Linked DNA regions of Struthio camelus. The protein of the gene in region 2 interacts with the protein of the main gene of each other region in a pairwise test. Links are inferred from orthologs where the notes say so. Each region holds a gene or a part of one and is shown on either strand. Other genes may lie near its edges.

Evidence for each region.
Region 1: the proteins of EMILIN1 (region 2) and MTMR9 interact in binary tests that used the Homo sapiens proteins (3 or more experiments, as listed by UniProt). The link is inferred for Struthio camelus from reciprocal best matches to the Homo sapiens genes EMILIN1 and MTMR9.
Region 3: the proteins of EMILIN1 (region 2) and PLAC9 interact in binary tests that used the Homo sapiens proteins (3 or more experiments, as listed by UniProt). The two-hybrid records come from large-scale screens. The link is inferred for Struthio camelus from reciprocal best matches to the Homo sapiens genes EMILIN1 and PLAC9.

What each region holds. Positions count from the first base shown.
Region 1 is NC_090944.1:10,873,095-10,876,839, reverse strand, and holds the start of MTMR9 (myotubularin-related protein 9), read right to left. Parts: upstream 2,298-3,745; 5' UTR 2,205-2,297; intron 1,902-2,204; exon of another isoform or gene 1,395-1,901; 5' UTR 1,268-1,394; coding exon 1,083-1,267; intron 1-1,082. UniProt on the Homo sapiens protein: Acts as an adapter for myotubularin-related phosphatases. Increases lipid phosphatase MTMR6 catalytic activity, specifically towards phosphatidylinositol 3,5-bisphosphate and MTMR6 binding affinity for phosphorylated phosphatidylinositols.
Region 2 is NC_090944.1:900,891-904,635, reverse strand, and holds the start of EMILIN1 (EMILIN-1), read left to right. Parts: upstream 1-955; 5' UTR 956-1,095; coding exon 1,096-1,268; intron 1,269-3,745. UniProt on the Homo sapiens protein: Involved in elastic and collagen fibers formation. It is required for EFEMP2 deposition into the extracellular matrix, and collagen network assembly and cross-linking via protein-lysine 6-oxidase/LOX activity.
Region 3 is NC_090948.1:30,382,627-30,386,371, reverse strand, and holds the start of PLAC9 (placenta-specific protein 9), read left to right. Parts: upstream 1-1,099; 5' UTR 1,100-1,507; coding exon 1,508-1,565; intron 1,566-3,745.

The DNA.
Region 1 (3,745 bases), about 10 Mb from region 2:
CTATAATCATATTCAAAATACAGCTGTGGCTAGTTTAGTATAGGCAGTGAAGAGGACAACACCAAACCGCCCTGATAACTGAGCGGCGTAGGATGGCAATAGATTTTCAGAGCCTCCCACCATTCTGCTCCTCTCCTCCCTCTGGCTAAGTGGCATGATTTTTCAGAAACACTAAGAGAAAACTGCAGCACAGGAACAAACTTAATCAGTGTCTGATACTTTTACTATTCTTAGATTCTGAGGAAGCCTGATAATTTAACCACTGCTGCTAGATTTTTCTGTCTTACTGCCAAGGAGGAAATCTATTCTTCCAAACTACTTTAAAGGGCAAGGAAAACAGGGTTTGACTTTGTAGCAAAAACGGTTATGACCAAACTGAGCAAAGGATTAAGATAAACAAGCAGAATACAGTCAGCAGAGATGACATCAGCAACCCAGGAAAGGCTTGGAAGATTCATCGCTGAAGCCCCTGTGATACAAGGGGATGGGCAAGAATAGTGTGACACTCAAGTGCAGCAGTCACAACTCACGTTAGCCACATCACTCTGACAAGGTGCATGCTGCTAAAGTGTTATTGATTTTCATAAGCAGTATCAACCTCTTACTCCTACAATCTAGCAGTAGGGCTGATCTGGGACCGAGAAGATCTCATGGCAGAGCCAGAAGTCTGCTCCAATTTTGCTGTGTGACCCTCAGCAAATCACTTAATGAGAACTTCAGCTTCCACCTCTGACAAACTGTGATAATGATGCATCCTTTATAAAGTGTTTTAAGAGCTGCTGATGAAATACATTGTACTATTAACTAAAAATACTATTGATACAAGAAATTTAAACACAGAAGACATGACAGAAGGAAAAAAAATCTTAAGATGCAACAGTCACATAACAGTTTCCAAACTGAATGAGAATCAGTTAGTCCATGACAATATTCCACCTCACGCTCTAGTTGACTAGGCTACTCTCCTCTCTAGACCTGGATTTTGGGAAGCTGCAGTGTGAACCAGTCCTGACAACCACTTTTCATCCCATAATAAAATGAACAATTGGGTACAGGAAGACAGAGAGAATTAGGACACATACCTTTTTTCAATAGAGTCAATATTGGAGTGCAGCAGCCACAGTTCCTCAGCGTCATCTTGGCGCCGCGAAGAAAGAATGAGGTGATGGCCAGTCAAACACAGAGTCCCCTCCACGGCAGGGTAGAAAGGGCGGTGCAGTACGACATTATCAACTCGAGGGGTCTTGATTAGCTCCGCAAACTCCATGCTTCCTAGTGAAGATAACAGGCCTGGGGAGGCCTTTGCCTAAAGCTAGCTGGGAGAGGAAGCACCAGCAGGGCCAGGATGGAGAATGTGGGACAATCCTGGGACAGTATGTAACTGGCAGACAGCCCTGTAAGATCCCAAAGACAGTCAGGCTCATAACCCAAGGGGTGAGCCCAGCTCCCGCGCTGGGGACAGCCACCCCTATCCCTATCACAGCTGGGGGATGATGCAAAGATTAGATGGGAGAAGAGGAAGGAAAGGAGGGAGGTGGCGAGGCAGAAGGGAGAGAGCAGCTAAGGAGGAGAAATGTCAGAGCAGGGCAACTAGGTGAGGAGGGGGCGCTAGAGATGAGGGGTGGGTGTCACAACCCCCCGTTTCAGGGAGGGAAGAGCTCAGCTCCGGCACAAGCCCCTGACTCAAGGGGATCCGGGGGGGGGGGGGGGGGTGCCCAGCACCTGCCGGAGGACGGGCTGAGGCGCTCAGAGGAGCCCTCTCGATGCCTGACAGAGGGAGACGCAGGAAATGGCGGCGCAGGGGGCCCCTCGGTGCCTGAGGGGAGCCCGGGGGGGCTGCAGGCGGCGGTGAGGCGAACCTGGGGGCGGTTAGGGGGGCCCCGGAGGCGGTTGGCCGGGGCGGGGGGGAACCCCTCGGTGCCCGGCTAAAGGGGCCCAGCCCCAGGGGCGCCGAGGAGGCGGGGGCGGGGGCAGCCGCGGCCCGGCCGCCGCCAGGACCCCGGGCCCCGCCGCTCGGAGGAGGCGCCGGCCGAACGGCAACAGCCGGAAACTGGCGGCTCCTACCCCGGATGTTACGAATCCGCCGTGGCTCCCACGTGATATTCCCCCCTCCCAACCACCACCCTCCGAACCAATCCCCGCCCGCTCTTCTCCTGTGAGGGCGGAACAGGCTCAGAAGCCGGCTTGGGGCGGCCTGCCCTTACCGGAAGGAGCGCTCTTCCAAAGGTGCCGGCGCAGCCCGCGGCCGCGAAACAATCATTCCACCCCCCCCCCCCTTCCCTAAGTCCTTTAAGAAAGATAGGCGGAGGCCGGAGAAGGGGAGGAGCCTCGAGGGGGGAGCCAATAGGAACGGCGGCAGGGGAAGGGGCGTGGCTTCAGGCCAGAGGGGTGGGTGAGGGGGCGGAGCCATGGGCCAGGCCAGGCCTGGTGGAGAGGCAGGGCCGAGGGGGCGGGGCAGAGGGGGCGGGGCCGAGAGGGGGCGGGGCTTTTTGCTGTGTGAGGCCTAAAATTTTAGGCTTTGGCAGGGATCCAGGCCCAGACGCCTCCTTGTTGTTCCTCGTTTGGATTTGCTGCATGTGCTGGGCGGGAATGACGGCAGGGACGGGTTGTTTTAAGGTGTTTTTCGTCAATGAAGCGCCGCGGCAGCACGTGCCGCGTGTGGCTTCAGTCGCCGAGTTTGGGCGCAGGAGTTGGCTTGAATAAAACATTTATATGGCAGAGTTAGGGTCTCTAGTGATTTTGGGATTTTTTGGAGTGAGCCGCTCTCTCACTCCAAAAAAAAAAAAAAAAGGTAAAAGAAAAAATAAATTAGCTAGCCCAAGGTCCAGGGAACAGGTTGGCATGGGGTCGTTCACTAGTGGAGGGGTTTCACTGAAAAAAAGTAAGTTCGCAACATTTGAAACCAAATCCAACGTGGGTAACAGAAATCCAGCATCTACACGGAGGGTATTAGTGGGATTGAGAAGGGCTATAAACCCTTGTGCTTCTAAGCAAAAGTCAACTTGTAAGCGGTGGTAAGAAAACGGAAGAGCCTTCATTTTGACAGCAAATGCCAGATATCTCTAGAAGAGGGGCTCTTCCAGCTGTGCTGCATACGGCTGACACTGGCTGCCCTCCTAAAAGGCCTGCTGGACTACCTGGGTGGGCATGTGCTTTTGATGCACAACAACAAGTCTTGCTCACCTTGCAGAAATTCAGATTCCTTATCCCCACCCGGTTTTATCCCTGAAGAACAAAACGTTGAGGTAGTGTCAGGCAGACGTTTCTAGAGCTCCCTTTGGAAGAGATCAATACCCATTTGTTACCATCCTACCGTGATTACTTTGGCGGTGCAAATTCAAGGTTGTTCAGGCCCTGCCTGATGGAAACAGCCTGGATCTGTTCAGATGCAAACAGGCAGCTTTGATGAGAGCTCATTCTAGGCACATGAGAAAGATTGCATTGTTGTTCAGACGGAATGATTTGAATTTTTATATTCACCCCTGATGGTGAGTTCATTCAGAATTTGTCCGAGTTGTTATGACTTTATTTGCATGTCTCATTAATACTGGCGGTTTAGGTGATTTCAATAGCTGAGAATGATTTGAAAGTCTCATTAATGATGTTTTCTTCATGTAAATATATGCAAAGGTTCGTAATAAGGAAGCTTGGTTCTCTCCTTACAGTAGTTGCACTGATCTAAATCGTCAACTGCTCCAAAAGAGAAGAGTGGGCTTTCCTAAGCCTGGAGCTACCAGGGGATGGG
Region 2 (3,745 bases):
CGTGCAGGAGCAGGGTGCTGGGCAGGAGCAGGGGGCCGTGCAGGAGCAGGGTGCTGTGCAGGAGCAGGGGGCCGTGCAGGAGCAGGGGGCCGTGCAGGAGCCGGGGGCCGTGCAGGAGCAGGGTGCTGTGCAGGAGCAGGGTGCTGTGCAGGAGCAGGGTGCTGGGCAGGAGCAGGGGGCCGTGCAGGAGCCGGGGGCCGGGCAGGAGCCGGGGGCCGTGCAGGAGCAGGGGGCCGTGCAGGAGCCGGGGGCCGGGCAGGAGCAGGGTGCTGGGCAGGAGCAGGGGGCCGTGCAGGAGCCGGGGGCCGTGCAGGAGCAGGGGGCCGGGCAGGAGCAGGGTGCTGGGCAGGAGCCGGGGGCCGTGCAGGAGCAGGGGGCCGTGCAGGAGCAGGGGGCCGTGCAGGAGCAGGGTGCTGGGCAGGAGCAGGGTGCTGGGCAGGAGCAGGGTGCTGTGCAGGAGCAGGGTGCCGGGCAGGAGCCGGGGGCCGTGCAGGAGCCGGGGGCCGTGCAGGAGCAGGGTGCTGTGCAGGAGCCGGGTGCTGGGCAGGAGCAGGGTGCTGTGCAGGAGCCGGGTGCTGTGCAGGAGCCGGGGGCCGTGCAGGAGCCGGGGGCCGGGCAGGAGCCGGGGGCCGGGCAGGAGCCGGGGGTGCAGCAAGGGGTGCCAGGGACCCCGCGCAGTAGCAGCGGCCGCGCTGGCGGCTGTGCAGCCCTGGCCCCCTGCCCGGCCTCTCTGGCTTTCCCCGTCCCTCCTTCGCCGTCCTCGCTGGCGTCCCGGCCTAACGAGAAGCAGATGTGCGCGGCGGCGGCGGCGGCGGCGGCCGGGGGGGGGGGGGGGGGGGGGGGCAGCCCAGGCCGGGGCAGAGGCGGGGGCGGCGCGGGCGGGGCGGGGAGGGGGCCGCGGCGGGCAGGAAGCGGGGGGCCCCGGGGACCCCGTCGGGCGGGCGGGCAGCGCCGGGGCGGCTCTGGCGGCGAGGGGCCGGCCGAGGCGCGGCCGAGGGGAGGGCAGAGCCCAGCCGGGAGGGACGGAGCCGCGACGGGACGCGCCATGCGCTCCTGAGCAGGGCTGCGCCCGCCGTGCCGTCCGCGCTGGCCAGCATGGCCCCCTGGCTCTGGCCGTGCCTCCTGGCCGCCCAGGCCCTGGCCGCCAACTTCCCCCCCAGGTACAGCCTCTACACCGGGGGGGCCGCCCCGCTGAGCCCCGTCCAGGCCACGGCCCCGCAGGGCCCCGCCGCGGCCCACGGCGGCGCCCGGGCCGCCAGCCGGCACAGGTAGGAGACGCGACCGCCACGCTGTGCCACGCTGCGCCGTGCCGCGCTGCATGGTGCCGTGCTGCGCCGTGCTGCATCGTGCCGTGCTGCATCGTGCCGTGCTGCGCCGCGCCCTGCGCCGTGCCGTGCTGCGCCGTGCTGCATCGTGCCGTGCCACATCGTGCCGTGCCGTGCTGCACCGTGCCATGCAGTGCCATGCTGCACCATGCCGTGCCGTGCTGCACCGTGCCATGCAGTGCCATGCTGCATCGTGCCGTGCCGTGCTGCACCGCGCCGTGCAGTGCTGTGCTGCAGCGTGCCGTGCCGTGCTGCACCGTGGCATGCCATCCTGCACCGTGCCGTGCCATGCAGCGCCACGCCATGCCACACTACGCCAGGGAGGCGAGCCCAGGCGTCCGGGCGGCGTCGCCTGCCCCAACACCGTGGGGTGCCCGGGACCAGCCGGACGCCGGCACGTGCTGCGTCCTGCTCAGGGCCCCGCCAGCAGGGCCAGGGTGCAGGACCCGTGCCTGGGGCCACCCGCGGGGTGCTGGGGGCCCTGGGGCCCGGGCGGCATGGCGTGGGGCTGAGCTGGGCCCGGCGGGGGCCCCGGTGCCGACACGGGGCTGCGAGCCGAGCTGCCACCCCGGCTGCCAAGCGTGGAGGGGCTGGGGCCGCAGGCGGTAGGGCGGGTGGGTGTCAGGGGGGTCCTGAGAGCGGGGGGCATGCAGGGGGGCTGGGGACGGGGTGCACTGGGGGCTGGGGAGGGGTGCACATGGGGCGTCAGGGACGGGGTGCACGAGGAGGAGCCCAGCCTCGAGGGTGCACCGGGTGGGAGATGGGGACGGGGTGCACATGGAGGGGGGTCGGGGACGGGGTGCACGTGGCGGGGTTTGGGGAACGGGGTGCACGAGGAGGAGCCCAGCCTCGAGGGTGCACTGGGCGGGGGGGGGTTGGGGACGGGGTGCACATTGTGGGGGGACGGGGGGGGGGTCTGGGCAGGAGGAGTTTTAAGGAAAGGTGTGTGCATGGAGGGGCTTGGAGTGGGGGGCGCCCCGAGGGCTGGGGCGGGGGGGTGGAGGGCTGCCCGGACCCCGCAGCCCGCCCCACGGCTGCCCCGCTCGCCGCGGGGCGCCGGGCCGGGGGGCCGGCGGGCGAGGGAGGGAGGGAGGGGGCGTCCGCCGCAGGAATTCCCGGAGGCCCCCGGGGAAGGAGCTGGAATCCGGCCGGGGGCCTGAGGGGGAACCAGCCGGGCTGACGGGAACGGGCCGGCGGGGGGGCGCCGGGACGCCCCGCTCCCCGGCCCCGGCCCCCTCGGCCGGGCTCGCAGCACAGGGTTTGGCCGAGGCCCCTGCGGTTGCAGCCGGGGCGGCAGTGGGGCAGGCCGTGGGGCGCGCAGCCCGGGCATCCCCCAGCACCCCACGGCCCCGCGCCCGGCTTCCCCTCGCAGCCACGCGGCGGGGTGGCCGTCCCCGGCGGGGCTCCCGGTCCGCCGTGCCCCTGCCGTACCCCCCCGCCGTGCCCCTGCTGTGCCCCCGCCGTGCCCCCACCGTGCACCCTGCTGTGCCCCCCGCCGTGCACCCTGCTGTGCCCCCGCCGTGCCCCCGCCGTGCACCCTGCTGTGCCCCCCCGCCGTGCCCCTGCCGTGCCCCTGCCGTTCCCCCGCCGTGCCCCCCCGCCATGCCCCCGCCGTGCCCCCGCCGTGCACCCTGCCATACCCCCACTGTGCCCCCGCTGTGCACCCTACTGTGCCCCCACCGTGCACCCTGCCACGCCCCCCCGCCGTACCCCCGCTGTGCCCCCGCCATGCACCCTGCCATGCCCCCCCGCCATGCCCCCGCCGTGCACCCTGTCATGCCCCCCTGCGGTGCACCCTGCTGTGCCCCCGCCGTGCCCCCCGCCGTGCCCCCCCGCCGTGCCCCCGCCGTACCCCTGCCGTGCCCCCCCGCTGTGCCCCCACCGTGCCCCCGCTGTGCCCCCGCCGTGCACCCTACCGTGCCCCAGCTGTGCCCCCCCGCCGTGCCCCCTGCATTGCCCCCGCCGTGCCCCCGCTGTGCGCCCCGCTGTGCTCCCCGCCGTGCCCCCCACTGTGCACCCACCGTGCCCCTTGCCGTGCCCCCGCTGTGCCCCCCACCGTGCACCCACTGTGCCCCTGCCATGCCCCCGCTGTGCACCCTACTGTGCCCCCGCCATGCCCCCTTGCCGTGCCCCCGCTGTGCCCCCCACCATGCCCCCGCTGTGCACCCACCATGCCCCTTGCCGTGCCCGCGCTGTGTGCCCCACCGTTCCCCCACCGTGCACCCCGCTGTGCACCTTACTGTGCCCCTGCCGTGCCCCCCACTGTGCCCCTGCTCTGCCCCCGCTGTGCTCCCACCGTGCCCCCGCCGTGCCCCCGCCGTGCCCCCGCCATGCCCAGGGTGATCAAAGGGCCCCGGCGCTGCGGGCGGCCGGGCAGAGCGGAGATGAAAGGGCTCCGGCCCGGGGCAGGATCCAGCCCC
Region 3 (3,745 bases), on a different chromosome or scaffold from region 2:
AAAACCCTTCTGTTGGATTTCATTCCCCTAACATTTGTAAACAACTCTGAACAAAACATATTCTGAGTCTGCTCAAGTTTTCACATCTGTAAGACAGTGAGCAAAGTTCAGACACACCTGTACATTCCTCATCTGAGGAGCACATAACTCAAAGGAGATCAGAGGAACTCCAGAACGTTATAACAACAGGCAATTCTAGATATTGTGCAGTTTTGCCTGGAAGGAGTCTGGATTAATCAGACAGTGCACAGTGCTGGTGGTCTTGTTCCCATATATTTCAAAGGCAGCATTACGAATCCAATAGACCTTTGTGAACATTTCTGCTAAGGTCAAAGATCCCTAGAAGTCATCCATAGACATCCAAGAAAAATATTAATTTTGCAAACTCAGTCAGGATTTCCACAGGCTCCCTCTTGCACATGGAGTCCTTTGTTGTATATAAGCTTTGCAATTTATTCCTAACTTACTCTATGATGATTTTCCTTTGCTAAATTATAAGCATTTGCACAGAAATAAGTCTTGCTCAACCGCCATAAAACACTAGACAGCCATTAACTTTTTTATTTTTTTCAGATGAGGTAAAGGATTATTAATTTTCTTTCATAAGTAGAAGCTAGAAACCTGTAAACTGGGAGGGACCTGACCACAGCTTTACAAGGAATCTGTGGCAGACTTGGGATTGGAGCTCGTCTCCACACAACTCCTAATGCCAAACACTGCCACTGATCCAGTCAGTATCCATGAACCCACAAGACAAAAATGTAATATTTAAGTAAGATCTTACTAAAAATCAAACACACTGTCAGGATAACATTAGCACTACTGTTTTTTGCACACGATGTTATGACAACTCACCCCGTTCAAACACCTTCTGAACGAAAAAGAGCTCAGAAGGCTCACAGAGGATCCTAAGGTACTTTCCAAAGACGAGGCTTCACAGTTACCACCTCCCACAATGTAGCCTCACTTAGTCCAGCAGAATTTTCACCTGTCAGAAAGCAAATTTTCTGTGGTTTTAAAAATGAATACATAATTAAAAAACTCTGCAAGATCGCAGCCCTCAAGATACTGTGTTTTCCAGTGTTCCTGCTTTCCCCGTGCTAGATGAAATTCTACAGGGATTTCAGAAACACCCAGCACCCTCTTTGTCCTCTCTTGCTTCCTTTTCTTGCCCCACTTGCTGTATTCACAGGACTCAAAACTCTTCAGCACATTCCATTTGCACTCAGTATAAATAAATAGAAGGGTAAAAACTTTGGGGAGCTTGGACCACAGCCAGCTTGCCTGGGTAACTGGATTTTTTGTGGAGCATGAAGGGTGTTTTTTAAAAGGAGGAAAGAAAAAGAGAACAGCTTAAGAATCTTGGCTCAGCCTGGGAATATTTCCTCCTAACTCTCTGGCTAAACCTCAGCACAAACGACTGGACTGAGGAGTCTATGTAAAGCCGAGGAGGGAGTCTGCAGCACTCTCCACAAGGACTACAACAGAGCTTGGAGAGTTTGAAACCATGCTTTTCGTTTGCATGCTGGCTTTTACTTTAGTCCTGCAGAAGCAAGGTCTTTTAGGTAAGTGACTCCAAGCTTGTAAAGCAGAAACTGCAGCGTATCTGATCTTCTGGTGAAAGAATTTGCGTGGAATTTGGCGGGGGGCGGGAGGGGAGTTAAGAACTGCTTATTTGATAGATTTGATCTGAAGATGACACAGGCATGTTCCAAAATTCTGTGCAAACAATGTTTTTTAACCGGGAAAAACTCCCATTTTCTGCTATTAAAGTCCATCCCGGAGGCATAGTGCTTCCCTAGAGATTTTCCACTACTCATGGGAGACACTATCACTTTATTTGCAGAAATTTAAAACCACATTCATATACTGCATCCAGTGCCCTGCATTCCCATAACACTGTTACTGGGAAGTTTAATAAGATGCACACTAATCCACTCAGAACTGAGAACAATGTTCAAGGTGAATAAAGAGAGGTCCTCCTATATTCAAACCCTTCTTTTTAGATTTGCTGGTAACAGCATTGTATATTTTTATCTTCTGCTTTTGGTTTACTTATTCCTGAGATTTCCAGGACCATAACTCTTTACTCAAATCCCTTGGCGACAAGCAGTATAAATACACAAAATCTGATAAGCTGGCATCTGAATTTTACTGCCGTTAACAAAGAATCTAGTGCTAGGTTAACCTCTGATCATATTGTTGTTGATGGTGTGACTGAAAGCTATTTTCAGTTTGGCTAGTTCAAGGGTTTATAGTCCCCATGTAATCACAAACCTGGTTTGCTGCGTGTTTGTATTGTGCATTTTCTACTAGCTGAGGCTGAGCATTATTTTCCCTCTGCTCTTACTTCTGCACAACACGTAATGTTTGCATGTCAGTGCAGGGTGGTAAGTTTCCATTACCACCAAAACATTTCCTGAAAACCACTAGTCCATTCTGTTGCCCAGGCTCCGGTCGCTCTTGCTTTCTCCCTCTCTGTCCCATGCAACTGGCTTTGTTAATACCTATCAGTGATGAACTGAAACAGCAATCCAAGCACAGGCACTGTATGTTTTCACTCTATAAATACTCATTATCCACCTGCAAATTTTGCAACGTACAAAGAACGCTGGAAGAACGTTTTTGTTTATTCCCCAGAAGTATGATTTTGTTTAAACGCAGATCATTAGTAAATTCCGGTGAAACCTAACCAAATAAAACATTATGTGAATAACAACTAAAGTAGGGACCCACCCAGTATTATGCCAGGTGGCAGCTACCTAGTTAAGAAAATATATTCACTGTTTCACTGGAGCATCCAAACACTCCCTGCCTCAATGAGCAGAGCGTTTCCTTGGAAGGTGAGACTCCATGGTCCATATCCTTTCTTTAAGTCAGGGAGAGGGAGGATCTGAACTTGTTTCTGTCCTAGCCAGCTGAGTATCCTGGCTGGTTGACATAGGCATCCCCCACTTGCTCTTTGCTACTTTTGAGGTGGGGAATCTAACTTTTGATTTTAATACAGATCCTCCCCACCCCCACTCCCCCAGTGACTCATTCACCGTCTCTTCCTGTTTTTCTATTTGGCAACAGTTCCTCTTGAATAAAAATATTTTGGGCTTGGCCAAAGAAGAATTATGTTTTCAGTCAGCCATTAATATGAACAATCTTATATCCATCGAGCTCAACCTTCAGACATCTCAGTAAGGGTGAGATGCTGGAACGGGAGCCATTTGGGACACAATCGCATCCTCCTGCTTAACCGGTTGCACTGCTTTATTGTTTGTTCTTGTTGCCGGGTTAGTTTGTGGGGTGCTGCTGCTGCTAAAACGTAGCGTAAAACATGGCCTGGGGTACTGGAGCATTCAAACCCTGCCCCATTTAAACAGCTTTCCATTCTTACCAAATGTTCCAGGCAAATTTTTCCCAAAGGTACAGCTTCGCAACAGCAGAGTTTGTGTTGGATGTTTTTGCACGGCACAGAGGTGAGCTGGAGTCCTGGCAATCAGGGGAACAACCTGGGCCCCTCTGACATGCTCCTCTTAGATGAGCAAACCAAACACAGTGGGGGGAGAGCAACAGGAGAGCTAAGGCATGTGTTGCTGCTCAATACAGTCTTTAGAATGTGATTTGTTTTTAAACAGCAGAAGCGTCATTTGGTTTCAATTATAAGTAAACCAATTGTAAGTTAATGTTTTTGCTTCATCCAGCTAACATATTATGCCTGTTCAGGATATTCTGGATCCTCTGATATTCACATGCA